7 linked regions of the Sus scrofa genome follow. The protein of the gene in region 3 purifies or fractionates together with the protein of the main gene of each other region. This does not show direct contact. Links are inferred from orthologs where the notes say so. Each region holds a gene or a part of one and is shown on either strand. Other genes may lie near its edges.

What was found.
Region 1: the proteins of SHC1 (region 3) and KDR purify together in Homo sapiens (affinity purification with western blotting; 3 studies listed by BioGRID and IntAct, with this or other methods). This does not show direct contact. The link is inferred for Sus scrofa from reciprocal best matches to the Homo sapiens genes SHC1 and KDR.
Region 2: the proteins of SHC1 (region 3) and AP2A2 purify together in Homo sapiens (affinity purification with mass spectrometry; 4 studies listed by BioGRID and IntAct, with this or other methods). This does not show direct contact. The link is inferred for Sus scrofa from reciprocal best matches to the Homo sapiens genes SHC1 and AP2A2.
Region 4: the proteins of SHC1 (region 3) and PRKCD purify together in Homo sapiens (affinity purification with mass spectrometry; 3 studies listed by BioGRID and IntAct, with this or other methods). This does not show direct contact. The link is inferred for Sus scrofa from reciprocal best matches to the Homo sapiens genes SHC1 and PRKCD.
Region 5: the proteins of SHC1 (region 3) and LRRK1 purify together in Homo sapiens (affinity purification with mass spectrometry; 3 studies listed by BioGRID and IntAct, with this or other methods). This does not show direct contact. The link is inferred for Sus scrofa from reciprocal best matches to the Homo sapiens genes SHC1 and LRRK1.
Region 6: the proteins of SHC1 (region 3) and SOS1 purify together in Homo sapiens (affinity purification with western blotting; 14 studies listed by BioGRID and IntAct, with this or other methods). This does not show direct contact. The link is inferred for Sus scrofa from reciprocal best matches to the Homo sapiens genes SHC1 and SOS1.
Region 7: the proteins of SHC1 (region 3) and AP2A1 purify together in Homo sapiens (affinity purification with mass spectrometry; 4 studies listed by BioGRID and IntAct, counting the BioPlex papers as one, with this or other methods). This does not show direct contact. The link is inferred for Sus scrofa from reciprocal best matches to the Homo sapiens genes SHC1 and AP2A1.

The regions. Positions count from the first base shown.
Region 1 is NC_010450.4:41,839,368-41,842,867, reverse strand, and holds part of KDR (vascular endothelial growth factor receptor 2), read left to right. Parts: intron 1-61; coding exon 62-176; intron 177-270; coding exon 271-434; intron 435-2,452; coding exon 2,453-2,609; intron 2,610-3,500. UniProt on the Homo sapiens protein: Tyrosine-protein kinase that acts as a cell-surface receptor for VEGFA, VEGFC and VEGFD. Plays an essential role in the regulation of angiogenesis, vascular development, vascular permeability, and embryonic hematopoiesis.
Region 2 is NC_010444.4:621,708-625,207, forward strand, and holds part of AP2A2 (AP-2 complex subunit alpha-2), read left to right. Parts: intron 1-1,944; coding exon 1,945-2,027; intron 2,028-2,603; coding exon 2,604-2,693; intron 2,694-3,245; coding exon 3,246-3,369; intron 3,370-3,500. UniProt on the Homo sapiens protein: Component of the adaptor protein complex 2 (AP-2). Adaptor protein complexes function in protein transport via transport vesicles in different membrane traffic pathways.
Region 3 is NC_010446.5:94,821,668-94,825,633, forward strand, and holds the start of SHC1 (SHC-transforming protein 1), read left to right. Parts: upstream 1-1,166; 5' UTR 1,167-1,522; coding exon 1,523-2,017; intron 2,018-2,585; coding exon 2,586-2,656; intron 2,657-3,245; coding exon 3,246-3,309; intron 3,310-3,461; coding exon 3,462-3,581; intron 3,582-3,857; coding exon 3,858-3,911; intron 3,912-3,966. UniProt on the Homo sapiens protein: Signaling adapter that couples activated growth factor receptors to signaling pathways. Participates in a signaling cascade initiated by activated KIT and KITLG/SCF.
Region 4 is NC_010455.5:35,317,179-35,320,461, reverse strand, and holds part of PRKCD (protein kinase C delta type), read right to left. Parts: intron 2,959-3,283; coding exon 2,830-2,958; intron 230-2,829; coding exon 71-229; 3' UTR 1-70.
Region 5 is NC_010443.5:139,492,694-139,496,925, forward strand, and holds the start of LRRK1 (leucine-rich repeat serine/threonine-protein kinase 1), read left to right. Parts: upstream 1-1,432; 5' UTR 1,433-1,756; intron 1,757-4,232.
Region 6 is NC_010445.4:101,321,068-101,324,567, forward strand, and holds part of SOS1 (son of sevenless homolog 1), read left to right. Parts: intron 1-1,771; coding exon 1,772-1,899; intron 1,900-2,693; coding exon 2,694-3,349; intron 3,350-3,500.
Region 7 is NC_010448.4:54,820,972-54,824,406, reverse strand, and holds the end of AP2A1 (AP-2 complex subunit alpha-1), read right to left. Parts: coding exon 3,413-3,435; intron 2,122-3,412; coding exon 1,998-2,121; intron 1,904-1,997; coding exon 1,787-1,903; intron 1,682-1,786; coding exon 1,612-1,681; intron 1,409-1,611; coding exon 1,274-1,408; intron 944-1,273; coding exon 866-943; 3' UTR 501-865; downstream 1-500. Other genes in the region: FUZ (protein fuzzy homolog), read left to right, coding at 247-470.

The sequences.
Region 1 (3,500 bases), on a different chromosome or scaffold from region 3:
CCAAAAGGCCATTTATAAGAAGTTAACATTTATGAGAAAACTTATTTTTATTTTCTTCCAGAAAAGCCTTTTGTTGCTTTTGGCAGTGGCATGGACTCTTTGGTGGAAGCCACCGTGGGAGACCGCGTCAGAATCCCTGTGAAGTACCTGGGTTACCCTCCCCCAGAAATAAAGTGGTAACTACTGAAAATAAATGCAAAGCATTGTTCCACATGGAAGCAAATCCCCAGAGGGTACTGATTCCTGTTTTGTTCCCCCCTCCCCAAACAGGTATAAAAATGGAAGACCCATTGAGTCCAATCACACAATCAAAGTGGGGCATATACTGACTATCATGGAAGTGAGTGAGAAGGATACCGGAAATTACACTGTCGTCCTTACCAATCCCATTTCAAAGGAGAAACAGAGCCACGTGGTATCTCTGGTTGTGAATGGTAAGTCCATTCATTTTTCCGGAGCACTGCTGTTGAAATCAGGTGTGGGGCCATGTGCTCTGGATGCATTTGCTTAAGAGGCCACGAGAATGAACCGTTTGGTGGTCAGATGCAAAACTCAAGTAGATGGTACAGCCAGTGGCTAAATGCTGTGGAACAAGAGTGTCTGCAAGTTGCACTACCTTTTATTTGTGAACCTGGCACTCAAATGTGTACAACTCTTCTTGAATTTTGTGAGACGCTTATAGTTTGATGTCAGGGTTGATGTAGCAGTGATGCACAGGCAGATTCCAATGCATAGGCATTTGCAGGAGGACGTCGTTGGCTGGTTGGAAGCTTTGTAATTTTTTTAAGTAATAGGCTAGGTAGGATCTGACTCTGAGGCTATAAAAAGGAGATACTAAGTTTTTGATTTAAAGTGATTTGAACTTTATTTTTCCAAATGGGGAGATGTAAATAAGTGTTTTGCATGAGGGGAAAAGGGCCTTATGGTCAAGTAGGTGTGGGAGATGCTAGGGGGGTGGATGTCGTATGCCGCCATACGCCGGCGGGGAGAAACATAGAGTAGCCAAGACTTAATAAACTTACTTGACCAGAGTTCCCCTACCCCACACAGCCTTTAATATCTTGCTCCAAACAGAGTTTGGGAAATTCTTCTCTATTGGAATTCTTTGTGCTTTCTACTGGCCCAGCAGATTAAGACTTCAGGATCTTGCGAGTTCTCATCATGGCTCAGCAGTAATGAACCCAACTAGTATCCATGAGGATGTGGGTTCGATCCCTGTCCCTGCTCAGTGGGTTAAGGATCCGGCATTGCGGTGTAGGTTGCTGACGCAGCTTGGATCCTGTGTTGCTGTGGCTGTGGCGTAGGCTGGCAGCTGGAGCTCCGACTGGACCCCTAGCCTGGGAACCTCTGTATGCCTCGGGTGCAGCCCTAAAAAACAACAACAAAAAGACTTGAGGATCTTCTCATATGACCTTAAAGTGCTTCCCCAAATATCCTGCCAAGCTCTGTATGTGTGCTGAGCTTGGCTTCATTTCTTTGGGGCATCAGCTTCAGGGAGTATTTTTAACATAATAGTTTCCAGAAATGTCATTTAGAAGCCACTCGAGCGTAGGGGCTTGGGGAGTGGAGAGAAGCAGGGAGGCTAAGTAGGGTGGGCAGAAGGAAATGAATAGGAAATAAAGATGTAAAACTGGACAGGGAATAATTCCATCTCACCCAGGAAGTCACTAAATATTTGATTCACTCTAGCATTTACCTTGCTCTATTATGCAAATGTAAAAGAGGAGTCATGTTTTGAAGGTATAATCTGAGGCTTTAGGTTGATAGTGATGAGAAATAATTTCACATGAATGGCTTCGAGTCAAAGAAAAAAAAGAAAGAAAAGGGGAGGGAGAAAGAGGGAAGACAAGAAAGGAAAGGAGGGAGAGAAGGAAGAGAATAAGAAAGGAAGGGAGAGAAGAAGGAAGGGAAGGAGGGAGGAGGAAGGAAGAAGGGAAGAAGGAGGGAGAGAGGTGTGCGGGGTGACCTTGGGCAAGTCATTTCACTCTCATTATCTTTCACTTTTCTCATGTGTAAAGTGGAGGACAGTAATAGTGGTTGTGAGGATTAAATGAATTAATTGATGTAAAGCACTTAGAACACTGCTCACACATAATACATGTATGTACTGGATTAATCACCACTAATTTTTTTTCACTGAAGCTTGGTCTGATTTGTGAGATTGAAAGGACTATCCTTATAACATGGTTTTGAAAAAGTGAGGCACAGGGTGGCGAGACTTGCACAAAGTCACTCAGTTTATTAATTTATTGATATTATTAAAATCATGAACATCACTCTGAATATCATTAGAAGTCAGGTGTCCTGTCTCCCAGTCGACATGTTCTTTGAAAAAGCAAATGGGGGCAAAAATCCCATGTTTGGAAAGACAAAGGCTTTAATTTCTGACAACATCTACTTTCCATGCCTCGTAGCTGATTTACAATTCAAAAGCTGTCTCTCTCATCTCCAGTCCCACCCCAGATTGGTGAGAAATCTCTGATCTCCCCCGTGGACTCTTACCAGTACGGCACCTCCCAAACGCTCACCTGCACAGTCTATGCTGTTCCTCCCCCGAGCTACATCCACTGGTATTGGCAGCTGGAGACCGAGTGCTCCTATAAGCCCACGTGAGTAGAGCCACACCCTCTTTTTTCCTGTCCTTTTGTGTTTTTAAAAATTTTTATTCTTTTGTTGTATGTTTTAGATCCCACATGTAAGTGATACCATACGGTATTTGTCTTTCTCTGTCTGACCTATTGACTTAGTAGAATAGCCTCCAGTCCATCCATGTTGCTGCACATAGCAAAATTTCTTTCTTTTTTATGGCAGCATAGTATTCCATTGTGTATATTGTGTGTGTGTGTGTGTGTGTGTGTGTGTGTGTGTGTATCATATCTTCTTTATCCATCCATCTGTTGATGGACACAGCCAAGCTACAATATGACCCCATTCTAAGTAGAGAGGGCTCTCTCTAAGAAAGTCACTCCTCAAGTAGTACCTTTAATGTCCCTCCATCTTTCTCTGTGGTTGTTTTTGGGACATGTTTTTCTTCTAGATATCCCACTTCGAGATTAGCTAACTCTCTCGTCATATTAGCCTTCATGTCCACCTCTGCAAATGCCGTTTCTTTGTTCACTTTGTTTATGGCCAGTCTTTGGCTTTTCTGTTTACCAATCAACCAGTGACTGTCACAATCTCCTTATCTGTGAGAAGGTCCATCTCAGAGGAAGTGCCAGTGGATGCAAGAGAACGATAGACCTTGGAGTCTCAGGCCTGGCTTATCAGGTCCTAACACAAGTCCAGACATCCTTAGGAAAAAAACAACAACAAGTCACCCACCACCACCCTAAGCAGTTCACTTCCTGTTGTTGTTTTTGAGATGGTCTCTCCTAGTTTCTTCCTCAGATGCTGACCATTTCCTACACAAAGGCCACAGTCCCAGGGAGATTACTTTAAGAAGCCCAGTGGCTTCTTAGTTTCCTTGCCTTCCTTTGAACTAAATTAACTTGAATTGTCTT
Region 2 (3,500 bases), on a different chromosome or scaffold from region 3:
GTCTCCCGTGTCTGGGGGCGGGGCGGGGGGGACGACTCTGCCCTGGCCCCCGGCCCAGGCCACGGCCGGGCTCCGCCGGGCCCTCCTCCCGGGCCCTCCCGGGCTCTGCCGGGCCGGCCGCCAGCCGCGTCCTGTTTGCTGGGGCCCCTGTGGCCTCGGCGTCCCTGGCCTCTTCCCCGCTCTTGCCCTCGAGCCGCCCTGCCTCCCCTGGCTTCCCACCACGGGTCTGCCTTCCGGGCGCCCCTGGCCTCGTCCTCAGGAACGCTCTGCAGGGGCAGGGCGCTGCCTTCTCCTGAGCGCCGTCTCCACCGCCCGCCTCCTGCCTCTCTCCGACCTGCGTCCGTCCACGGGCCTGGCTTCCTGCTGCCGGCTTTGCCCCCTTTCCCCGTTTTCAAAACGGATCCCAGGCTGCTCCTCCCAGCATGTCGGCTCCCCCATCTCTCTGGCTCTGGGGATCCTGGGCCTCTGCCCTCCTCACGCTGCCCTCTCTCTGCTGATCTGAAACCCCGCCGGGGCGGGGGGAGCCCGAGGGAGACCTGAGTCTCCAGGGACCCCGCCAGCGGAGTTAGGACGGCAGAGGGCTTCCTTTACGGTTCCCTGGTCTCTGGGTCGACAGCGCGGCTAATTCTTTGCCTTGCGGGCTGGAAGCGGCTGGGGCCGGGCAGCTTGGAGTGCTGCTCGCCTTCTGTCCCGGGCTGAAAACAGACTTTAAAAAACTGAGGTATGGTTGATGCACTTACTGGTTTCAGATGTACCACAGAGCAGTTCCCAGCTTTAAAGATTTTATTCCACTTAAAGTTGTGATAAAAGAGGGGGTTATTTCCGTGGGTTGCACCGTAGGTCCTTTTAGCTTATCTGCCTACTGGGTGCGTCTCAGACGCTCCCCCCACCCCACTGGGAACCACCAGCCTGTTCTGGGTGTCTGCTTGGTCCTGCGGCGTCATCCTCGTTTCGTTTCAAAGTCCACGTGTGCCGCTGCCGCGGTGTCTGTCTGTCCCTGACTTACTTCGCTCAGCGTGACACCCTCCCGGCCCGTCCGTGTTGTTGCAGATAACGAAGTCTCATTCTTTCATGGCTGAGTGGTGCCCCCAAGTCCGTACACACCACATCTTTATCCATCCTTTACTTTTTTGTCTTTTCGGGGCCATACCCATGGCGTATGGAGGTGCCCAGGCCAGGGGTCACATCGGAGCTGCAGCTGTCAGCCTACACCGCAGCCGCAGCCGCGCCAGATCCCGGCCGCGTGTGCGGCCTGCTCCACAGCTCACGGCAACGCCAGATCCTTCACGCACTGAGCGAGGCCAGGGACCGGACCTGCAACCTCGTGGTTCCTCGTCGGATTCGTTCACCACTGCGCCACGACGGGAACTCCTGGGCTTTCTTTGCTTTCCATGTTTTCTTCTAGGAGTTGTACGAGTCCAGATCTCACGTTTAGATCTTTAATCCTTTTGCGTTATCCTTGTATGTGGTGTGGGAAGGTGTTCTGCTCTTCTTCTTTTACACGTGGCGTCCAGTTTTCCCAGCGCCGGGGACATCGGGGCGGAGAGGGCTCAGTGGCATCGGCCGCGTGGCCCGCGGGGCAGCCAGGCGGGGCTGTTGGCCATACGCAGGCTGGAGGCCGGTGCCTGGTGGAGGGCGAGCCTGCGGTCCGACCTGAGCGTGTGCGTGTGCCCTGGAGCCCTTGTCCTGAGTCAGCGGGCAGCCGCAGGTGGTTGGCGGGCGCTTGGTGAGGAGCAGAAGGACTGACCCTGGCCCGGGGCCACGTCTCGGGTCGCGCCCGTCTCTAGCGGGGGGCCTTCGTGCTGTTCGGGCTTGTTTTCCTCCTCCCCTCACGGCCCAGAGAGGCTTTGCCGGACCCCGTGTTCTTTACACCCTTTCTCAGAACGAATCTTTGTATTTGGGGCGGCGGCTTTGGGTGGGTCACACGCTGTCTCTTGTCCCCAGGTTTGTCTGTAAGAATAACGGAGTCTTGTTCGAAAACCAGCTGCTTCAAATTGGACTGAAGTCCGAGTTTCGGCAGAACTTGGGTATGTGTTTAACTGAGTGGAAGCGTCTCTTAGAAGTTACGGGGAGAAGGTATTTTCTGATTAGGTATCTCATAAGGGTCTAGTTTCTGGAATGTGTAGAAGACTCCCAATCAACAACAGGAAAACAAGCAGTTAAAACCGCGGGTGGCCTCCCTGGCCGCACAGCGGGCCAAGGATCCAGTGTTGTCACCACTGTGGCGTGGGTTTGATTCCTGACCCAGGAACGTGCACATGCGGCAGGCGCGGCCAGCGACCCCCCCCCCCCCCGAAAACAACTCCAAAGGCTTTTTGCGCCCCCTCCCCCCAGCCTTTCCCATCTCTGGGCCCCGCCTGCAGCCTGGTCTAGACGCGGGGCAGGCGGGGAGGCGGGGGGGCCCCCAAAACCCAGGGGGCGGTTTCGTCCTCGGCCGGTGGGGGCTTAGACGCTGGCCGTGGCTTCTGAGCTCGGGGAGGGTATTGCCCCTGCCATCCTGTCCAGGATGGGCGGCTCTCAGCCCTTCCTGGCTCGGAGGCGCCCCCGGCGTCTCTGTCGGGGCGCCGAGGACCCGCTGGCGAGCCGGCTCTCCCGCCTCCCAGGTCGCATGTTCATCTTTTACGGAAACAAGACCTCCACGCAGTTCCTGAGCTTCACGCCCACGCTCGTCTGCTCCGACGGCCTCCAGGCCAATATCCTTGTGCCGTGGCCCCGGCCCTCCGGGGTCCAGAGGCGGGTTTTGAGGTTCTGTGTAGGGGTAGGAAGACGCGCCTGCAGCCTCAGGGTACCCTCCCGGGCCCCGGGTGTGCGGGCGCCGCCTGGGAGGGGCACGCAGGCCTGGCCTGGCCCCCCAGCTCCAATCCCCGCCAGGCAGCGTGAGGGCCGGGGCGCCTGAGACCTCCTGAGGCCCGAGGCCTGGGACGTGAGCTGCTCCCGCCACCGTCAGTCAGCCTCGCTGCCCAGATGTCCGCTCTGGCGCGGGGGCCGCTCGGGGAGGTGAGGGGAAGGCCCGGCTGGGCCACGGAGACGCAGCGCGGCCTGGCCATTCCTGCGTTAGGGGAGTGTGTTTCACACTCAGACTCTTAGAGGCCGACGTGTGGGTGGTCGCTGCAAAGGCGCGCGTGGAAGGCTGCGGCCGGATCAGGACGTGCCCCCCCCCTCCCCCGCGCGCCTCTGCCCCTGGGGCCCACTTGGCCTGGCCGGCCGCCTTCCCCGCGCTGCCCCGGCTTCCTTGACCCTCGCACATCTGAGCCTGCGGACCCAGCCCGTGGGCCCCACCGTGGACGGGGGCGCACAGGTGCAGCAGGCCGTCAACATAGAGTGCCTGTCCGACTTCGCAGAGGCGCCCGTGCTCAGCGTCCAGTTCAGGTGGGCCTGGGGTCGCCGGCCGCGCCTGCCGGACTGCCCCCTCCTCCCTAGGGTGTGGTCGGCGGGGGCTGCAGGGAGCCTGTGGGGGCGGGGGCGAGAGGGCGCCTAGGGTCCGGGGCGCCTCCTTCCAG
Region 3 (3,966 bases):
TCCTATGATTATTTGCTGTCTTTTTATCCTGGGAGATAAATTTAAGGATAGATATTCCGAGGCCAGCCTGGGGGGCTATATATATCTTTCACTCTTTATTTCTTGGTCACTTTCCAGCTGCCTCCATGGCCCCCTCGAGCAGAGCTGGCGTGAAGCTGTGGGTGGAAGGAATGGGTTTGAGACTGTTTCCTGTGTCCAGCCTCAGTCCTCCTTTTCCTGGCACTCCTTTCCCCTTGGCACAGATTGGTCTTCTGCCTACCCTATCCCTTCGTGGCCTGTAGCCCCCGTCCCCCTCCTCTTGGAGAACTGTTTCACTCTCCCCTCCCCAGCCAGACGCTGCCCCTGGCGGGGTGGGGCCTCGGGCTCTGTGGTGGATACCTGTACTCTCTAGGGTCCCTACGGCCAGAGGAGGGGTAGGAGCTTACCTGCAGGTCCAGGGCACTGACGTTAGTGTCAGTGCCCTGGCAGCCCCCACCCCTCCTACCCTTGATAACTTGCTTGGCTGCGGAAAGTGGTGGGGGGCTGCAGAAGGGTGCCTGGCATGAGTTGCTGCTCCTTGGCATGGTAGACGCCATGCAGAGAACAAGCCTCCACCAGCCTGTCGTCTGCTCCGGCTCCTGCCTGGTGGCTCCCTGATGCAACACCCATCATGATGATGAAGTAAGGGACTTCATTCCCTTACTTCACCAGCTCTGCCCTTCCCCTTGGCCCCTCTCTGCATCCACCGGGACCATGTCCTTCCTTTTCCCATTTCTGTAGCTCCCTCCCCGGCTGTTGCAGCGGAGGATGCTAATGACCGAGACTAGGGGGTGCTGGGGGATGAGGGAATCTGAGTGTTCGACCAGGACAGGAAGGGAAATGCTGAGCTCAGGGATCCCCTCCCTTTCCCACCCCCAGCTGCCTCTGTTTCCTCCCTCATTCCCCACTCCCCCCACCAGCTTCCTGCTCCCTTTGACCTGCCCATGTCCGGTTTGGATTGATCCAGACCTCCTCTTATCGCCCTCCTTTCCTTCTCACCCCTCCATCCTTCCCTTCCAATCCCACTCTACTCCTCCCTAGATTACATGTTGTTTGTACGGGGTGGGCCGGGGTGGGGGCGGGGGGGGGGACGGGGGTGGGGCGGGCGGTGGGGGCACGGTGCACTCTGCCCCGAAAGAGTTCTAGGTTGGGGCGGTGTTGGGGGCTCAGCCCCTCAGAGCCTGTGAGTCAGCACTGTCCACGGGATTGGTCTCTCCCCTTTGCTCCCCGCCCCTGGGGAGGAGCCAGGCAGCTCTAGGTCCAGCCTGTTCTCCTCTCAGCCAGAGAAGAGGCTCCACGCTGGGCAGAGATGGGGCCTGGAACTGTCTGGGTCTGAGCCGCGGGAGCCAGAGCCACTTGTCCCTCTCCCTCCCCAGGACCCTTGAGACCCCTGGGCCACAGAGGTCCGATCAGGCTAAGGGCCTGGGGATGCCCCCTGCCTGGCCCCCTTGCCCTGACTGGCAGGGGGGCCAGGCTGGGCAGCAGCCTCCCTCTCACTCCAGCCATGGATCTCCTGCCCCCCAAGCCCAAGTACAACCCACTTCGGAATGAGTCTCTGTCATCGCTGGAGGAGGGGGCTTCAGGGTCCACTCCACCAGAGGAGCTGCCTTCCCCGTCAGCCTCGTCCCTGGGGCCCATGCTGCCACCTCTGCCAGGGGACGACAGCCCCACCACCCTGTGCTCCTTCTTCCCCCGGATGAGCAACCTGAAGCTGGCCAACCCAGCTGGGGGGCGCCCAGGGCCGAAGGGGGAGCCAGGAAGGGCAGCCGAGGATGGGGAGGGGACCGTCGGGGCAGCTGTACCCGACTCGGGCCCCCTACCCTTCCTCCAGGACATGAACAAGCTGAGTGGAGGCGGCGGGCGCAGGACTCGGGTGGAAGGGGGCCAGCTGGGGGGCGAGGAGTGGACCCGCCACGGGAGCTTCGTCAATAAGCCCACGCGGGGCTGGCTGCATCCCAACGACAAAGTCATGGGACCCGGGGTTTCCTACTTGGTTCGGGTGAGTGAGCGTCCTCCCTCCCTGACCCCTTCAGTTCCTCTGCTCATGAGTCTCTCTTTTTCGCCCCTTCTTTTCCCCAGCAACTCCCTTGGTTTCCGTGTCCTGTTTCTTAAGCCTTTTGTGCGCCTTCTCTGATTCTGTAGCCCCTTCTCTTCCAGCTCTGTCTGGGTCCCCTTGGGTCCTGCGACTCCCCCACCCCTACCCCCAGCCTGCCATGCTCAGCACAAAGCCCAGGACAGGCCCTTAGTAAGTGTTGGAATGAGTGGCTCTTGAGTGACTCCCCTCCAGTCTGCTCCCCCTTTCTGGAGTTGTCACTCCATCCCAGCCAGGGCCTGTCGCTCCCCTCCAAATTCCCTCCCCCCACCCCCCACTGTGCAGGAGGTCCTCCTAGCTCGCCCTTCTCTCCTCACCCCCTATTGTCCTGCACTCTGTGGGATGGAGCCACGGGCAGCGGGGCAGAACTTCATCTCTTCTTCCCTGAGGGACCACGTAGGGCAGAGTCCTACGGCCCTTTGTGAAGAGGCTGGAGGGGGGCGGCTGACTCTCCTCCTCGCATCCCTCCCCTCAGTACATGGGCTGTGTGGAGGTCCTGCAGTCGATGCGCGCCCTGGACTTCAACACCCGGACTCAGGTCACCAGGTTCGTGGGGAGGCGGGGCCGAGAGCGCAGGGCTCCTGGCATTCAGGCCGGGAGGGGGTCGCTTGGTGGTGGTGGCTAGTGCTGGCTTGTCTTTGGGTGGGGAAGGCGATTTAGAGACAGGTAGGAGAGTCAGTCTAAGTCTCAATGAAAAGAGACAACTCTGACCCGGCTCCTTCTACGTATCCAGCCTGGGGAGTTGTGGGGGAGGTGGCAGAGGCAGCTGGCAGCTGGAGCTTGAGTGGAAAATGGGGGTAGATGGAAGGTTGCTGCCCGCCGCTGCCGCCGCCACCACCGCCGCCACCACCACTGCCGCCACCACCACCACCACCACCACCACCGCCTTTGGGAAGGGGCTGGGACATTTGGTAGCTGGAAGGGGGTGGGGCCAGACCCACTGAGGCCCTAACCCAATCAGCCAGGAAGCGGCCTCTCAGTGTCATCAAATATTAAAGGCCCTTAATTCAATCCACCACGACAAAGAGCCTGGAGTGCCCCTGGAGTCTGGCCTGGCCTTCCCCTCCCCCAGCCCTGTGGCAGCCCCAGCCGAGTGGGAGGCAGGCTCTGGGTCTGAGTACCCCTCTTTCCCCAGGGAGGCCATCAGTCTGGTGTGTGAGGCTGTGCCGGGTGCGAAGGGGGCGACAAGGAGGAGAAAGGTACCTGGGGTCCACGGCACGGGGGATGCTGCCGGGAGATGCGGAGGAGCAGGGGCAAGGCTAGTGTGGCGCGTGTGGGGAGAAGGGCAGGAGTGCGGGCGGTTTCCTGGTGTGGGATCTCCCAGCTTCTGAGACCTGGGGCCCTTCCCCAGCCCTGTGGCCGCCCACTCAGCTCCATCCTGGGGAGGAGTAACCTGAAATTTGCTGGAATGCCAATCACTCTCACCGTCTCCACCAGCAGCCTCAACCTCATGGCCGCAGACTGCAAACAGGTTGGTGGGGTGGAGTCAGGGTCAGGGCGGGGGGTGAGGGCGTGCAGAAACACCGATGGGAAGGCTCAGTGGGAACCTGGCCACGAGGGCAAGAACTTAGCAGAGAAGCCTTGGGCGCAGCAGAGCTGTAGGGAAGGTGTAGATTAGGAGGACATGGGTTGAGAAGCCAAAGGGACGCTGGGGTCCCGGGCCAGTGGTGGGGGGTGCCCAGTGGACCCTCAGGCTGCCTGACACCCGTCCTTCCCTTCCTTCTCCATCCTCTGCCCTAACCCTCAGATCATCGCCAACCACCATATGCAATCCATCTCGTTTGCGTCCGGCGGGGACCCGGTGAGTCGGGGAGTGCACCAAGGTGGTGGGAGAGGAGAGAGGGGCTTGGGATGGG
Region 4 (3,283 bases), on a different chromosome or scaffold from region 3:
GCAGAAGGAGCTGGCTGACCCAAAGCTCCCTGGCTGGGGTAGGGGTAGGGGTGGCGCATGTCTGGGAACCTCAATTTTCCAGGAGCCTCTCGAATTTGGGGTTCAGGAAGGAGAAGCCAGCAAATGCTGTTTGGTCCATGGAGTCGATGAGATTCTTGTCGCTGAAGGAGAGACGTGGCTTCTCATTCAGGAACTCCTGGTCGAAGTTGCTGTAGTCTCCAGGGGACCTCTGCAAGCAGAGGGCAGGGGTACATAAGCAGGACTCAAGGGATGACCTTTTGGAGGTTCCCAAAGTTTCGGAGACCCACCCCTGGAAACTGAACCCCTGATGGACTGGGCCAAATCAGAGCTGTCCTTATTGAAAACTGAAAAAGAAGTCTCCCTTGTAAAGTTGGCTGCTGTTTCCCCAGGGTCTGAGGGATGCAAGCAGTGGGGGTCTGACCTGGAGGAGGCCAGGTGGGCATCCCTCCAAGCCAGGCTCTGGCAGACGACAGTCCTGGCCAAGCCCCATCCACCACCTGTTTGTGCAGGACCCACAAGCTAAGATTGGCTTTTGCATTTTTAAATGTTTAGGGAAAAAAATAAAAAAGAGAATAACATTTCATGCCACATGAAAATCAAATGAAATTCAAATCTCAGTGTCCATAAATAAAGTTTTATTAGCACACAACCACACCCACTCATTGACGTAGCATCTACAGCTGCTTTGAGACTATCTGGCTTGCAAAGCCCAAAATATATATATTTGCCTTTTTAGGGCCACACATGCGGCATTGGAGGTTCCCAGGCCAGGGGTCTAATCGGAGCTGTAGCTGCCGGCCTATGCCACAGCCATAGCAATGCCAGATCCGAGCCATGTCTGCAATCTACACCACAGCTCACAGCAACACCGGATCCTTAACCCACTGAGCAAGGCCAGGGATCGAACCTGCAACCTCATGGTTCCTAGTTGGATTCGTTCCCGCTGCTCCACAATGGGAACTCCAGCTTAAAATATTTACTATTAGGCTTTTCGCAGGAAGTTAGCCAATTCTCTGCTTCTGAGGGTACAATGAAAGGGTGAAAGAAAGCTGGTGGACCTCAGACGAAACTGAGCTGCAGGTACAACCACTGTGATTAGCTGTGGGTTTTAATGGCATTTGAGCCTCTTTTTTCCTAATGGCCACACCTGTGGCATGTGAAAGTTCCCCGGGCCAGGGGCCAGTGGGAGCTGTAGCTGCCAGCCACAGTCACAGCAATGCAGGATCCGAGCTGTGTCTGTGACCTAGGCCACAGCTCATGGCAATACCAGGAGCCTTGACTGTGATTCCCACTGAGTGAGGCCAGGGATTGAACCCACATCCCTATGGATAGTAGTCAGATTCTTTTTCTTTTTGCCTTTTCTAGGGCTGCTCCTGCAGCATGAGGAGGTTCCCAGGCTAGGGGTCCAATTGGAGCTGTAGCCACCGACCTAAGCCAGAGCCACAGCAATGGGGGCTCCAAGCTGCGTCTGCAACCCACACCACAGCTCACGGCAACACTGGATCCTTAACCCACTAAGCAAGGCAAGGGATCGAACCCGCAACTTCATGGTTCCTAGTCGGATTCGTTAACCACTGCACCACGACGGGAACTTCAGTCAGATTCTTAACCCACCTAGCCACAACAGAAATTCCGAGCCATTATTTTTAAACTGGGCCATTTGACATAAAAATCCAGATTTCTAGCTTCTTTTGAAAACTGGCAGAGCAGAGCAGCCTAGGTCCCATTTCCTGTCAAGTGCATCCACTCTTGGTGCTAGAACCCCCTTGGCCAGCTCATCACAGGCCCCACCACTTCCCAGAGACAGAGGATGCTGACCAACACACCTGCCTTTGTTGTTTAAATCTATCCTCCTTTCTATCAAAAGTGAGAGACAAAGCAGGCTATGGGATTTTCCCACAGCCAGTCTGTCCTGGGAGCAACATGCCCAGTGCAGGAGGCACCCAAGTTTGATCCTTGGAGTGGAGAGCTCTGCAGCCTCAAGACACAAATATGGGGGCACCTTTTACGGGCTGCTCAGTGGAAACAACAAATCCTGATGGAAGAGGGGAAGCAAAGGAGAGGAAAGGGGGAGGAAGGAGGACCTGTGATGAGACAAGGGCCACGGAGTCCGACTTTTGGGAAGTCCAACCAGCCTCTGCTCTCCTGCTGGCTCCTTGGCAGCCTCTAGATCCTAGGCCTTTGTGCACACCACCCCTCCTCTACCCGGAACGCCTCCCATACATCCTACTTCCTCTCAGACCCAACCCCATCTCTGCATCTTGGGCTCCTGCTGACAGACCCTCTCAAGGGCAACTGATTGTGTGTGGACATCTCTTATATCACTGCCATTTATCATAAATGACCATTAGGGTGCAGATTTCTTATCTCTCTGAGCTGCTGGAGCTCTTCCAGCTCTAGAAATGGGATGTCCCACTTTGCTGTGCAGCCTTGCACAGTGGTCTGTATCCAGAAGGCACTCAGCACTTATAATGCTTATTGGAAGATGGATGGGTGGAGGCAAGCCTTAACTGTGATTCCCAAAGCACAGTTCCTTGCATACAGTGGGTGCTAAAGAATGTATATTAAAGGGTGGCTGAATCCACAGCCCCCAGTGTTCGTTGAATGACTGAGTGAGAAGAGAGGGTGAGAATGCAAGGGTAAAGGCTGTGACTCAGGGGAAGCCAGGTTTGCTACGAGAAAGGACAGGAGGAAGGCATGTGAAAGATGCAGGAGAGAGACAGGGCAAGAGAGGAGGCACCCACCCTGGAAGGCTGTGGGGGTGGGCAACACCAAGGAGGCGGCCCCCACCAGAGTGGGATCACGTACCACTTTGGGCTTGAAGGGTGGCTCCACTGCACGTTTCTCCAGCAGAGTCCAGTTGATGGTCTTGAAGAAGGGGTGGGTTCTGATGTTCCCTGTCACTCCCAGCCTCTTGCCTGTGTCTCGTTCAAGCAGCTGCAACCCAGCAGGGGCCCTGGTTAGCACTTAAGGGCTGTAGGAAATCAGAGCCTCAGAAAACCCCCAAGCAGGCCCAGGGGTTCCCAGGCTGGTCTGGCCCAGCCTGGTGCCATGGCCCGGGGCCTCTGAGGCTGAGGGGTCCTCTCTGGCCTCTGCATTCCTAGGTCTGCTGGAGAAACAGGGCGAGGACTGGGGCTGCCAGGACTCTCAGCTGGTAGGACTTGTGAGTAAAAGCAGTGGCCATTTATTGGGTGTTTACTATCTGCTGGGCATAGACCTGAGCATCCACCTGAGCATCCACATTTATGGTTTTTTTTTTTCT
Region 5 (4,232 bases), on a different chromosome or scaffold from region 3:
GAAGCAGAAAGATGAAGTTCCTTGGTGGCCTAGTGGATTAGGGATCTAGTGTCACTGCTATGGCTCTGGTCACTGCTGTGCCACAGATTCCAACCCTGGCACTGGAACTTTCCCATTCCCCAGGCAAGGCCAAAAAAAAAAAGCAGTGGAAATCTTAACTGACCTAGCAATGGCCCCCTGTAAACCTGTAACTAACACACGCCTAACGGATGGAGTTAAATGCTGGTATATAATCAGCTTGAAACAAGCCCCCTGTGTGTAGACTATCCCAACGGTTTTCTACAGTGGAGACATTTCCAAGACGGTTCCCAGGCTTACTTAAAAGGGAAATTGAATTGCTGCCCCCCCCCCATTGGCCACGTCCACTAGTTGTCTGCTCAAGCACTGGGCATGCACTTCCTCACGGTGCCGCTAGATGGCAGGGCCGCGCGCCCTTGGGGCGCTTTGTGGAGATTCGCGGGCTCACTCAACACCGTGGACGCCACGCCTTGCAAATTATTAGGGACTTTTCGGTAGCAATCATATTAACGCCTTTTGCATACTGGAATTAGAACCGCGGTGATGAGGGTAGGATTGCAAAACTGCACCCACCCTTTTGAAAGGGCGTCCAGTCCAGGAGAATTAGAGGGACAACCTCTTGGGAGTAAAGCAAAGCTGCCCGGCGGTCCCCTCGCCAAAGAGGGGCCCAAGGAGCTTGTCCGAGGGGCCACAGTCCTGGGTTTCCGCGAGGTGACGTGATGGCCCTGCAGCTGCCTGGCTTTTGTGAAATGGAAGTAAGGGTGGTGGCAATTTGTCTTTGTGCCTTGGGGTAAATCCTGGGAATGTTCTAGTCGTAACACTACGTGAGAGGAGCCTAGGAGGCAGGTCCTGCCAGGGTGAAGAATCATCTGCTTTTTTCCAAACCGGCTTCTCTTTACCCGGTGGGCACATGGAGCCAAATCCATGCCTGTCTGCAAGCATGGACATACATCTTTATGCTCTGCGTTTGTACAATGGCCTCACTGGTGGGAACATAGTTAAGGTAGCTTGAAACATAATAAACTGCCTATATGCCCCAATGTTTATCTACCACCTCCCCCCTCAAAAATAACCCCAGGCAATTTAAAATGATTCACCAAACAGTGACATATTTGTATACATCCATAATTACATTAGTAAATTCATGTGGTAGAAGGGGTGCAGTTTGAAAACTATTAAAGCTTTAAAGTTACACATTTCTAGTCTGCTCTATAGTTTTACACAAATGAATATTCCCGTCTTTTCCATATTTACTGCCAGAGTATACGATCTACATATATGAGTCAGAGGTTCATCAGCGGATTTTGCAGCGGAGCGGATCAGAGGGGCAGGGGAAGCTGGGTTGAGCAGAGAACGACCACTCTCAGCGCCGCGCCCGCCCCGCGTGGAAAGCAGGATGTCCCAAAGCGGGAAGGGCCGGGGGGCCTCCGGGCCAGGAGCAATGAGCGCGATCGCCTGGGATTTGCAGCAGGGAAACTGAGGCGGGAGGTCGGGGAGGTGGTGGTGGGGGTGCTCCCCGAACCAGTTCCTTGGCAACGCCGCCGCTCCGACCCTCGCTACGCACCCTTCGCGCCGCCTGCCGCCCGCCCTCCTCAGGATTGAGGAAGTGTGTGTCTGGCCCGGCCCCGCGAGCGGCCAGAGGCGCAGGGGCGGAGGGCAGAGGGGCGGCCCGGCCCGGATCCGCCGTCTTCCTCCCCGCCCGCGCTCAGCGCAGAGTCCAAGGCGCCGGCCGCCTCAGGTAAGCGCCGCCGGGCCCGCGCCCCGCCAGGGGACCCGCCGCCAGGCCCCGGGCGCAGGGCGACCCCAGGGCTCATGGCCCCGCCGCCTGCCGCCGCGCTCACGGGGCACGAGGCCCAGGCGGGGAACCCGAGACCCCCCGGGACGGGGCCCGGGCAGGGAGAGCAGACTCGAGCAAGGAGTACTTCTCCCTCCGCCTTTGGAAAAACTCGCTTCCTTCAAGTCGGAGTGGCCGTGAGAGCGCGTGTGCGTTGTGTGAGCCTGAGAGTGAATGTGCTTGTGAGCGAGAGTGTAAGCTGAGTGTGAGCGCGGGGGTGTGGGGAAGCAGCAGCTCCCTGCCCCGACGGCCTGGTGCGCGACGGCCGGCGCATCTTCATCCCACCCTCAGGCTGAGGCCCTCTTCTGGCCTGAGGGTCGGATCTCCGGCGGTGCGGATAAAACCCCGCCACCACCTTGGCGGTCTCTGCGGCGACCTCCCGGCAGAGGCGCAGGAGATGAGCGCGGATGTGGTGGAATGAGGAAGGGAGCCGAGGAAGGCAGCCGAGGAAGGCTGCCGAGGAAGGCTGGGGGTCGGAGGGATATGATAACGAATAATTGGGCGACTTCTGTGCTGGGCTCGACCAGCCCCTCTTTGTTTGAGGTCAAGAAGCTTTTCTCTCAGGAGCACATCCCCCTGCAGGGGTCTGAGAAGGAGAGATACGGGAGCCTGTAGTTTGTTTTTGGTGAGCCTCTCACCAAACACACCATTTTCAGACTTTGTCACTTATTGTGTCCAAATTCCCCTGGGCCTTAAGGGGACAACTAGAATATGCAGGATTTGGAAAAATGTTAACATTCCCCTCCTTTGGTCGTTTGGCTTCATTATCTTTGTTTATGCCCCGGAAGAATAAAAAAGTTAGAAACATACAAACCTCACACCTAATTTGTCCTGCAGAAGGTTTTGGGGGCCCTGCCCCAAGCCTCCACATCTCAGGGGGTGGCCTCATACTAAAGGTAGTAGGCACAGTTGCTCAGATCAAAAACCTAGGAGTCGTCCCTTGTCCCAACTCCTCATTCCTTGAATTCAATGGTTAGCAAGTCCTGTTGGGTCTCAAAGGTGTGTGGGGTCCATCCCCTTCCTTTTTATGGCCCACTCTAGTCCAAGCCACCAGCATCTCTTACCTGTGCAATTGCAGTGCTTCCCATACGCCCAGTCTCCATTTGGCAGCCATGGTGATTTTTTTTTTTTTAAGGTAAATTCGAGAGTGTCAGTCTTCTGCTTGTAACCCTTCAATAACATCTCCTTATGCTTGTCACGAAATCCAGAAGACCTCCTCCCGTCCGCATCCCTGCAGCTGATCTGGCTTCTGCCGTCTCAGATCACCTGGCCATTGCCTCCCCACCCAGCCACCCCCTCTAAACCCAGCCTCACTCTCACATCTCTCTGTGTATGTCCTTGCAGTTGCCAATGGCTGTGTGTTCCTACTCTATCTTTTGAATTACTCCTTTAATTTACCTGAAAGTCTCCATTGGAGACTCCAGGTGTCAGAGACCTTTCCAGAGTCCCTGCTCACTGTTGCATCTTCACTCCCAGAGCTGCTCCAGAGGGTTCCAAATGCATACAGGTAGAGAGACAGTGGTGGAAAGACAGTATGAACTTGTTTGTGGCTTTAGGCTCACAAAGGGCTTCTGTTCTCATCTGGGCCTGAGAACTACACATTTCTACGGTTTGTAGCACCGTAATATTTTGATGTCTACAAATCTATTAAACACATTTTGTAGGCAAGCCAGTAGTGGTCAAGGAGGCTAGTTGTGCCAAAGGGATGTCTCGGACCATGGGCCAACCATCTCAACCAGGCTTTTGATTCAAAAAAAGACCTGGGAGTTCCCGTCGTGGCGCAGTGGTTAACGAATCCGACTAGGAACCATAAGGTTGCGGGTTCGGTCCCTGCCCTTGCTCAGTGGGTTAACGATTCAGCGTTGCCGTGACCTGTGGTGTAGGTTGCAGATGCGGCTCAGATCTCGCGTTGCTGTGGCTCCGGCATAGGCCGGAGACCACAGCTCCGATTGGACCCCTAGCCTGGGAACCTCCATATGCCGCGGGAGCGGCCCAAGAAATAGCAAAAAGACAAAAAGACAAAAAAAAAAAAAAAAAAAAAAAAAAAGACCTGGGTGGGAGTTCCCGTGTGGCTCAATAGGTTAAGGACCTGATGTGTCCCTGAGAGATATGGGTTTGATCCCTAGCCTCACACAGTGGGTTAAAGATCTGGTGTTGTTGCAGGCTTCATCCTAGGTCACTGAGGCGGCTCTAATCCAGGGTTGCCTGTGCCACAGCTCTAGCTCTGATTCGACCCCTGGCCTGGGAACTTCCATATGCTGTGGGTGTGGTGCAGCTGTAAAAAGGAAAAAAATAAAAAAAAAATAAAAGGCTGGATGATAAGAGCATTTCTAACATGCTTCACTTGTGCAAGTTTCTTCAGGCTCTTTGGTATCTGCAC
Region 6 (3,500 bases), on a different chromosome or scaffold from region 3:
CAGCCCCTAGCCTGGGAACTTCCATATGCCATGGGTGTGGCTTTAAAAAGCCAAAAAAAAAAAAAAAAAAAAAAAAACCATTTTTTTAAATAAGTTATTTTTGTAAAAATGGTTTGGAGCATTGAGTAAGAATATGTTTACTTTTCATAGGTCATCAATATACATCATATGTATGTGTATATATAACTAATCTGTATCAGTTCAAGCAAAAAAGAAATGTGTTATTATTCTTTAAGAAATAACTCTCGGAGTTCCTGTAATGGCTCAGCAATTAGCGAACCTGACTGACATTCATGAGGACCCCAGTTCAATCCCTGGCCTCATTCACTGGGTTAAGGATCTGGCGTTGCCATGAGCTGTGGTGTAGGTCACAGGTGGGCTCAGATCACATGTGGCTGTGACTGTGGCGTAGCCCTGCAGCTATAGCTCCGATTTCACCCTTAGCCTGGGAATCTCTGTATGCGGCAGGTGCAGCCCTAAAAAGACAGGAAAAAAAAAAAAAAGAACTCTCAAGAACAAAAAGTACTAATGAATAATGAAGCTCATTGAAAAGTAAGCCTTTGTAAATTTGAATTTTTTATGATTTTCTCAAGTCTTTTTCTTTATGATAGACAGTAACTGTTCTTAAATGTTGTATGAAAGCTTTATTAATAAATGTTACTTCTTGGAGTTCCCTGGTGGTACAGCAGGTTAAAGATCCAGTGTTGTCACTACTGTGGCGTGAGTTCGCTCCCTGACCTGGGAACTTCCACATTCAGGCATGGCCAGAAAAAATATGTTAGTTTCTTAACTTTTCCTTTTTGGTAGCCACAAACAGATTTATAAGGTTACTGAATTATTGTCACCTATTGTCATTCATAACTCAATTGCTTTTTTGAATTACCACCACCTTGTCGCAATGATAATTAGCCATTATTGATGACTCAGTCCTTGTTAAAAACAGACTCTTCTGTCCAGCGTATGTAATATATTTAGCCACTGATTGAAAACGTGCTTGAGTTTTACTAACATGTATGATCCTAGTTTTATTCAAAATCTTAACATATGAATATTGACAAGGTTCTTCATGATAGTAACATTAATTATGTAGTAGAACTGCAAAGAAAACAACTTACACTGTACATTTACAGAATGCTTTCATTTTTAATAACAACGCCATAAAATAGATTGGGGAAGCTTTTTATAAGCCTCATTTGACATATAAGAAATATGAGGCTCAGAAGTCATATAATTTTCCTGAAAGATCACACCGAAAGTGAGTTGAATTTTATCTTAGGTTTTGTGTCTTCAGGTTCCTCTCCACTATGTTGCTTCATTCTCTGTATATTTATCTTGCATAGCATCCCATTGCTTACAGCAGTAGTGTGGGAATCAGAATTCTAAGAGCAAATTACACACTTCAAAAAAGACTCACCTGTGTGTTTACTTCTGTGCCACGTCCTATGATAGTTAAAAGATAATTTTTCCTCCTCATTTCTTTTTGGTAGTATGCATCTGAGAAACTGCACATTACTCCCTATCACAAGATATGATGTCTTTTAACACTGTTTCTACTCCTTTTTTTTTTTAACATGGAAAACTTGGTGGGATGTTGATTTGGATAGTAATACATAGGAAGACTTTTTAAAAGAGTAGTATATTTTATGACGTTTAAAATGTATTACAGTAGAAAGAGTTGAATCAATGTTATCTTTATCCTTAAATAAAATAGGCTTATTTTTTTGTACAGAACTGTTCTGCTTGTTCAGATTTGTCATTTTTTACTTTGCAGCAGTTAGAAGAGAAGAGTGAAGATCAAGAAGACAAGGAATGTTTGAAACAAGCAATAACAGCTTTGCTTAATGTTCAGAGTGGTATGGAAAAAATATGTTCTAAAAGTCTTGCAAAACGAAGACTGAGGTGAATAATTTCACTTTTTAAATTATCTTCCTTTTCACCCTGAATATTGTGGTATAAATTAAGGGATCCTAGTCCCTACTCAAGTAAACAATGAAGAAAATAGTGTTAGTGACAAGCTTGGTCTTTCAAAGGAAGTGACATCAAAGCCAAGAGAATTTGTTATTGTTTGAAAAACCTTTCATATTTGTGCATTTTCCTTGCATACTCCCAGACAAGACCTCCTGAGAATCAGCTGGTAAGCTAAAGGAGAAATACAATGTATTGGGTAGGTTTATGTCAATCTCTGAAAATAAAATTAGTAGTGTTCTTTATTTTAGGGACTTTGTAACTCAAGGCATTAATTCAGATAATATACTTCCAGTTTCCTAGTTATTATGTGTGCATGTTTTTTAGCTTTTAGATATTGTCCACTTAAGCATTCCTAGATAATTTTTAATCTCTTAAATTACTTTAATCTCTTTTTTTTTTTCACTATATTGGGCTACTTTTTTAATATTTGTCATTCTAAGTATTTAATAGCCGTAGTAGAAATAATCATTCTGTAGCTAAATTTATAGGGGAGAATTTTGTCAATAGCCAACTGTTCTTTTTAAAGCACTAAAAAAAAAAAATGTCTCTACGGTATTGATTTAGTTTCCAAAATTGTGCAGTTCTGTTAACACTAACATATTTGGAGAATTAGTGAAAACCTTCTCAATGCAATGTTTTTAAATATACTTTTGCATTTCCATTTATTTACATGAATTATAGATTCCCTGTCTTCTGTGTACTAACTGTTTTTTCCTTTATCCCAGTGAATCTGCATGTCGGTTTTATAGTCAACAAATGAAGGGGAAACAACTAGCAATCAAGAAAATGAACGAGATTCAGAAGAATATTGATGGTTGGGAGGGAAAAGACATTGGACAGTGTTGCAATGAGTTTATAATGGAAGGAACTCTTACACGTGTAGGAGCCAAACATGAGAGACACATATTTCTCTTTGATGGCTTAATGATTTGCTGTAAATCAAATCATGGGCAGCCAAGACTTCCTGGTGCTAGCAATGCAGAATATCGTCTTAAAGAAAAGTTTTTTATGAGAAAGGTACAAATTAATGACAAAGATGACACCAGTGAGTACAAGCATGCTTTTGAAATAATTTTAAAAGATGAAAATAGTGTAATATTTTCTGCCAAGTCAGCTGAAGAGAAAAACAATTGGATGGCAGCGTTGATATCTTTACAGTACCGGAGTACACTGGAAAGGATGCTTGATGTGACAATGCTACAGGAAGAAAAGGAGGAGCAGATGAGGCTTCCTAGTGCTGATGTTTATAGATTTGCAGAGCCTGACTCTGAAGAAAATATCATATTTGAAGAAAACATGCAGCCCAAAGCTGGAATTCCAATTATCAAAGCAGGAACTGTTATTAAACTTATAGAGAGGCTCACATACCATATGTACGCAGGTAAGAAATATGAACTTGCCTATCACTTTTATTTTCCTGTTCAGGCTGATTTTTCTTCGCTGCACAGGTCATTGTGCCTAAAATAGAAATCAGACTAACAACAAAAGACCTCCGCATTATCAGAGTTCATCTTCTTCTGATTTAAAATACT
Region 7 (3,435 bases), on a different chromosome or scaffold from region 3:
TATTGCCAAGGGGATCGCCTGGCGCTTGCATACACAGGATCGCCAGGAAAGTGGGGGACGGAGGCTGGGTAGGAAGAGGGCAGAAAGTCCGTGACCTCTTAGGTCCTGACAGCCAGCTGGAGCTGTGGGGCTCCCCTCTGTCAGGAGTCAAACTTGGGCCCAAGATGGGGGAGACTCCCACGCAGGTTGGCATCCTAGGGGTCCAGGCCCCACTGGTCACCCCAGCCCTCCCTGTCTTTCCTTCAGAGCCCGGGCAGCCAGAGAAGGTGGAGGAGGCGGTCCACCGGGCCCAGGTGCCGAGAGCCTGCTACCTGGTGTCGGGGCCTGAGGAGCCGGGCATCGGATGGCGGCTGGTGGCCCTGCAGTTGGGGCCACGGCGGCTGCTGCTGCTGCTGTCTGCTCAGAGTCCCACGCACGGGCTTCGGGGCCTGGCCACCCACACCCTGCATGCCCTCACCCCGCTCCTCTGAGCGCCAGACACAGACACGCACACGGGGCTATTAGCGTCTCTCTGTTTATTCGCTCACAATAATACACAGCCCCTGGATGGGGAGGGGGCAGGAGGGGCTACCGGGGGGTGGGGTGGGAGGGGAGGAGGTGCCCACTTCCCTGGCCCCTCTCCCCTCTGTGCTTCGGGGGGGGGGGAAGGGAGGAAGGGGGCTCCCCCTTACCCCCCAGAATGTAAACAGCAGCAGATGAACAAAAATAAAAATACAAAAGGCCAGAGGAAGGTCCTAGGCATCCCCCCACCCCAGGGTCTTCCCTGTCACCAGCGGAGGTCCCCTTACTGCCCCATCCACCACAGCTGCCTCAGTCCTGGGGGCTGCCCGGCACCGGCCACATCTCCGGGGGCACAGTCCAGGGCTCAGAACTGCTGGGCCAGCAGCTCACACAGGTGACGGGAGACGGGCTCCTTGCTGGTGCGCAGGGTCAGCCGGTACATCTGGTGGGGACAGTGGGACTCAGGGAGGTGGCAGAGGGATGGTGCAGGTAGCTCCTCCCCCAAGAGGAGGAGGAAGAGGGGGATACAGGGCAGATAAATGATGAGAGAAAAAGGATAAAGGGATCAGAAAGGTGACATAAAGGACCGGGGTGACAGGAGGTACAGGATGAAAGATAAGAGGTCAAGAAGAGTGGAGAGGCTGTGGGGAGATGCAAATCAGGGAGGATGGAGAGACAGGAGGGGCACGGGGACACATGACTTAAAGGACAGAGTGAGGCAGGAGGACGGGGTGCAGAGAACATAGCAGGGGCCTCCCAGACCACCACGCACCTGAGCCTGGGCGTTGGGCTCCAGCCGCAGCAGACAGCCCACCTGCAGGGCTTTAGTCTGGATGATCCCAGCCCCCACGAAGTTCTCAGGGTTGGGATCCACGTTGTCCAGGAGCGCAGAGCCAAACCCCAGGAGCTGGGGAGGAAGTGGGTGGCCGTCAGAGGGTGCCCGGGCTTTGTTAGCTCCCAGACAGTGACACACCAAATCCCCCCAGACCCTCCTGGGGAAACAGAAGCTCAGAGAAGCTGAGCGGCCGCCACTCCCCAAATCCCAGACCTTGAGAGAGGTGGGGCTGGGGTGTGAGCCCAGCAGGGCCTCTCCTGTCTTGCCTGGCTCACCTTGGCCTTAGTGACCTCCGCGTCCATGGGGTGGTTGGCTTTGAAGATTTTCTGCGCCTCCTGTTGGGGTCTGGGGGCCGGGAAAGGTTCAGGTCGGGGATCGGAAGCCCCCGCCCTGCCCCTCCCCGAGGGCGGCCCCGGCCCTGGCCCCCCGGCCCCGCCGCCCGTGGCTCACAGGCTCAGCTGCTTCCAACGCTGGAAGAAGTCCTGGGCCGCCATCTCCGTCGGCTGGAAGAACTTGTTGATGGTCACCGGGAGCTTCAGGGTGAGGGACTGGGGGGCGCCCCCATACCTGCGGGGAGACGCGGGGAGAGCGGCCTCGGGTTAGACCACGCCCTCGCCCGGAAAGCCCCGCCCACCAGCCAGCGCCCCGACTCCCGACTCACCGGAAGCGCACGGACAGGAGCGGGGGCGTCAGGAAGTCCCGCAGACACTCGATGTTGAGCACCTGCTGCACCTGAGCCCCGCCGTCCACCTGCGAGGCCACCCGCTTGGTCTGCACGGCCAGCTGTGCCGGTGGTCAAGGAAGCCAGAAGCGGCACGGGACGGGGTCTTCGCCATAATCGTTCAGAACACTCAGCCCCAGCCTGCAGGCCTCTGAGAGTCCCTACCCTGCCGTCCCGGTCTCATCCTCCAAGGCCCGGCTCCACACCAAACCAGGGACCCACCCCCCTAGGTGCCTCCTCTGACTTTCCATATTGGGCTCAGACGCCTCCGTTTCTGCAGAGGTCACGCCCGTAGTGCAACTGGAGATCCTCTGTGGCTCTAAAGGCTGACCCGGGTTTGAAGCCCAGCTCTTACCACCTTGGTGACCGTGGGCAAGTCACTTAACCTATCTTAGCCTCATCTGCAAAATGAATTCAGTGTCCCCAGCATTCAATGAAATAATCCAGCATGAGTGCTTGTCAGTGTGTTTGGCACGTGGTAAGTCCACAGAAATAGTGGTAGTTATCACCCTCTGCCTTTATGTCAACAACCCAAAGGCAAGGGTGTCCCTGACTCCCCATCCAGCACAGAGCTGAGCCTACAGGGGCCATACGGAAATTTTTTTTTTTTTGTCTTTTTAGGGCCACCCGAGGCATATGGAGGTTCCCAGGCTGGGGGGTGAATTGGAGCCACAGCTGCTGGCCTACGCCACAGCCACAGCAATGCCAGATCCTTAACCCACTGAGCGAGGCCAGGGATTGAACCTGTGTCCTCAAAAATACTAGTCAGATTTGTTTCCGCTGAGCCACGACGGGAACTCCCTGGAAACGTTGATGAATTAAACAAACGGAAAATGTCCTTGGATTGGGGGCACTATCCACTAGTTTTCCAGCTGTGGGAACTGAGCACCAGAGGATGGGAGAGAGGGGGCTGACTGCTCAAGCGCTTCCTTTACGACAGCCACCCTGCCAGGGCTTTCCAACCACACCGATCTTCAAAACAAGCCTGGGAGAAAGAAGAGGAGAATCCACACTTCACAGAAGGGATAGCAAGGCTCAGAGAGGCCAAGGGACTGGCCCAGGGCACACAGGAGAAGGCCCTGGTCAGCATCAAGACCCCCAGGCCTGGCTAGCCAGGGCAGGAAGGGCTGGGATCATGGGTGTGGAGCCATGGGACGTGGTCAGGGGGTTCCGGAAGCAACACCTCCCGCATCCCTATCACATCACATCACGGTCGCCTCCTGTCCCGGGAGAGAGGCCCGCCCCACCTGACAGATAACACCAGATCTCAGAGAAGTACCATGTACTCAGGCTCTGGAGGAAGAGGGCCCAACAGGGGTCTGGAACCAGGGAACCAGGCCAGACCAAGAGGATATGAGCCTGGAGGTCTCCGGGGTGG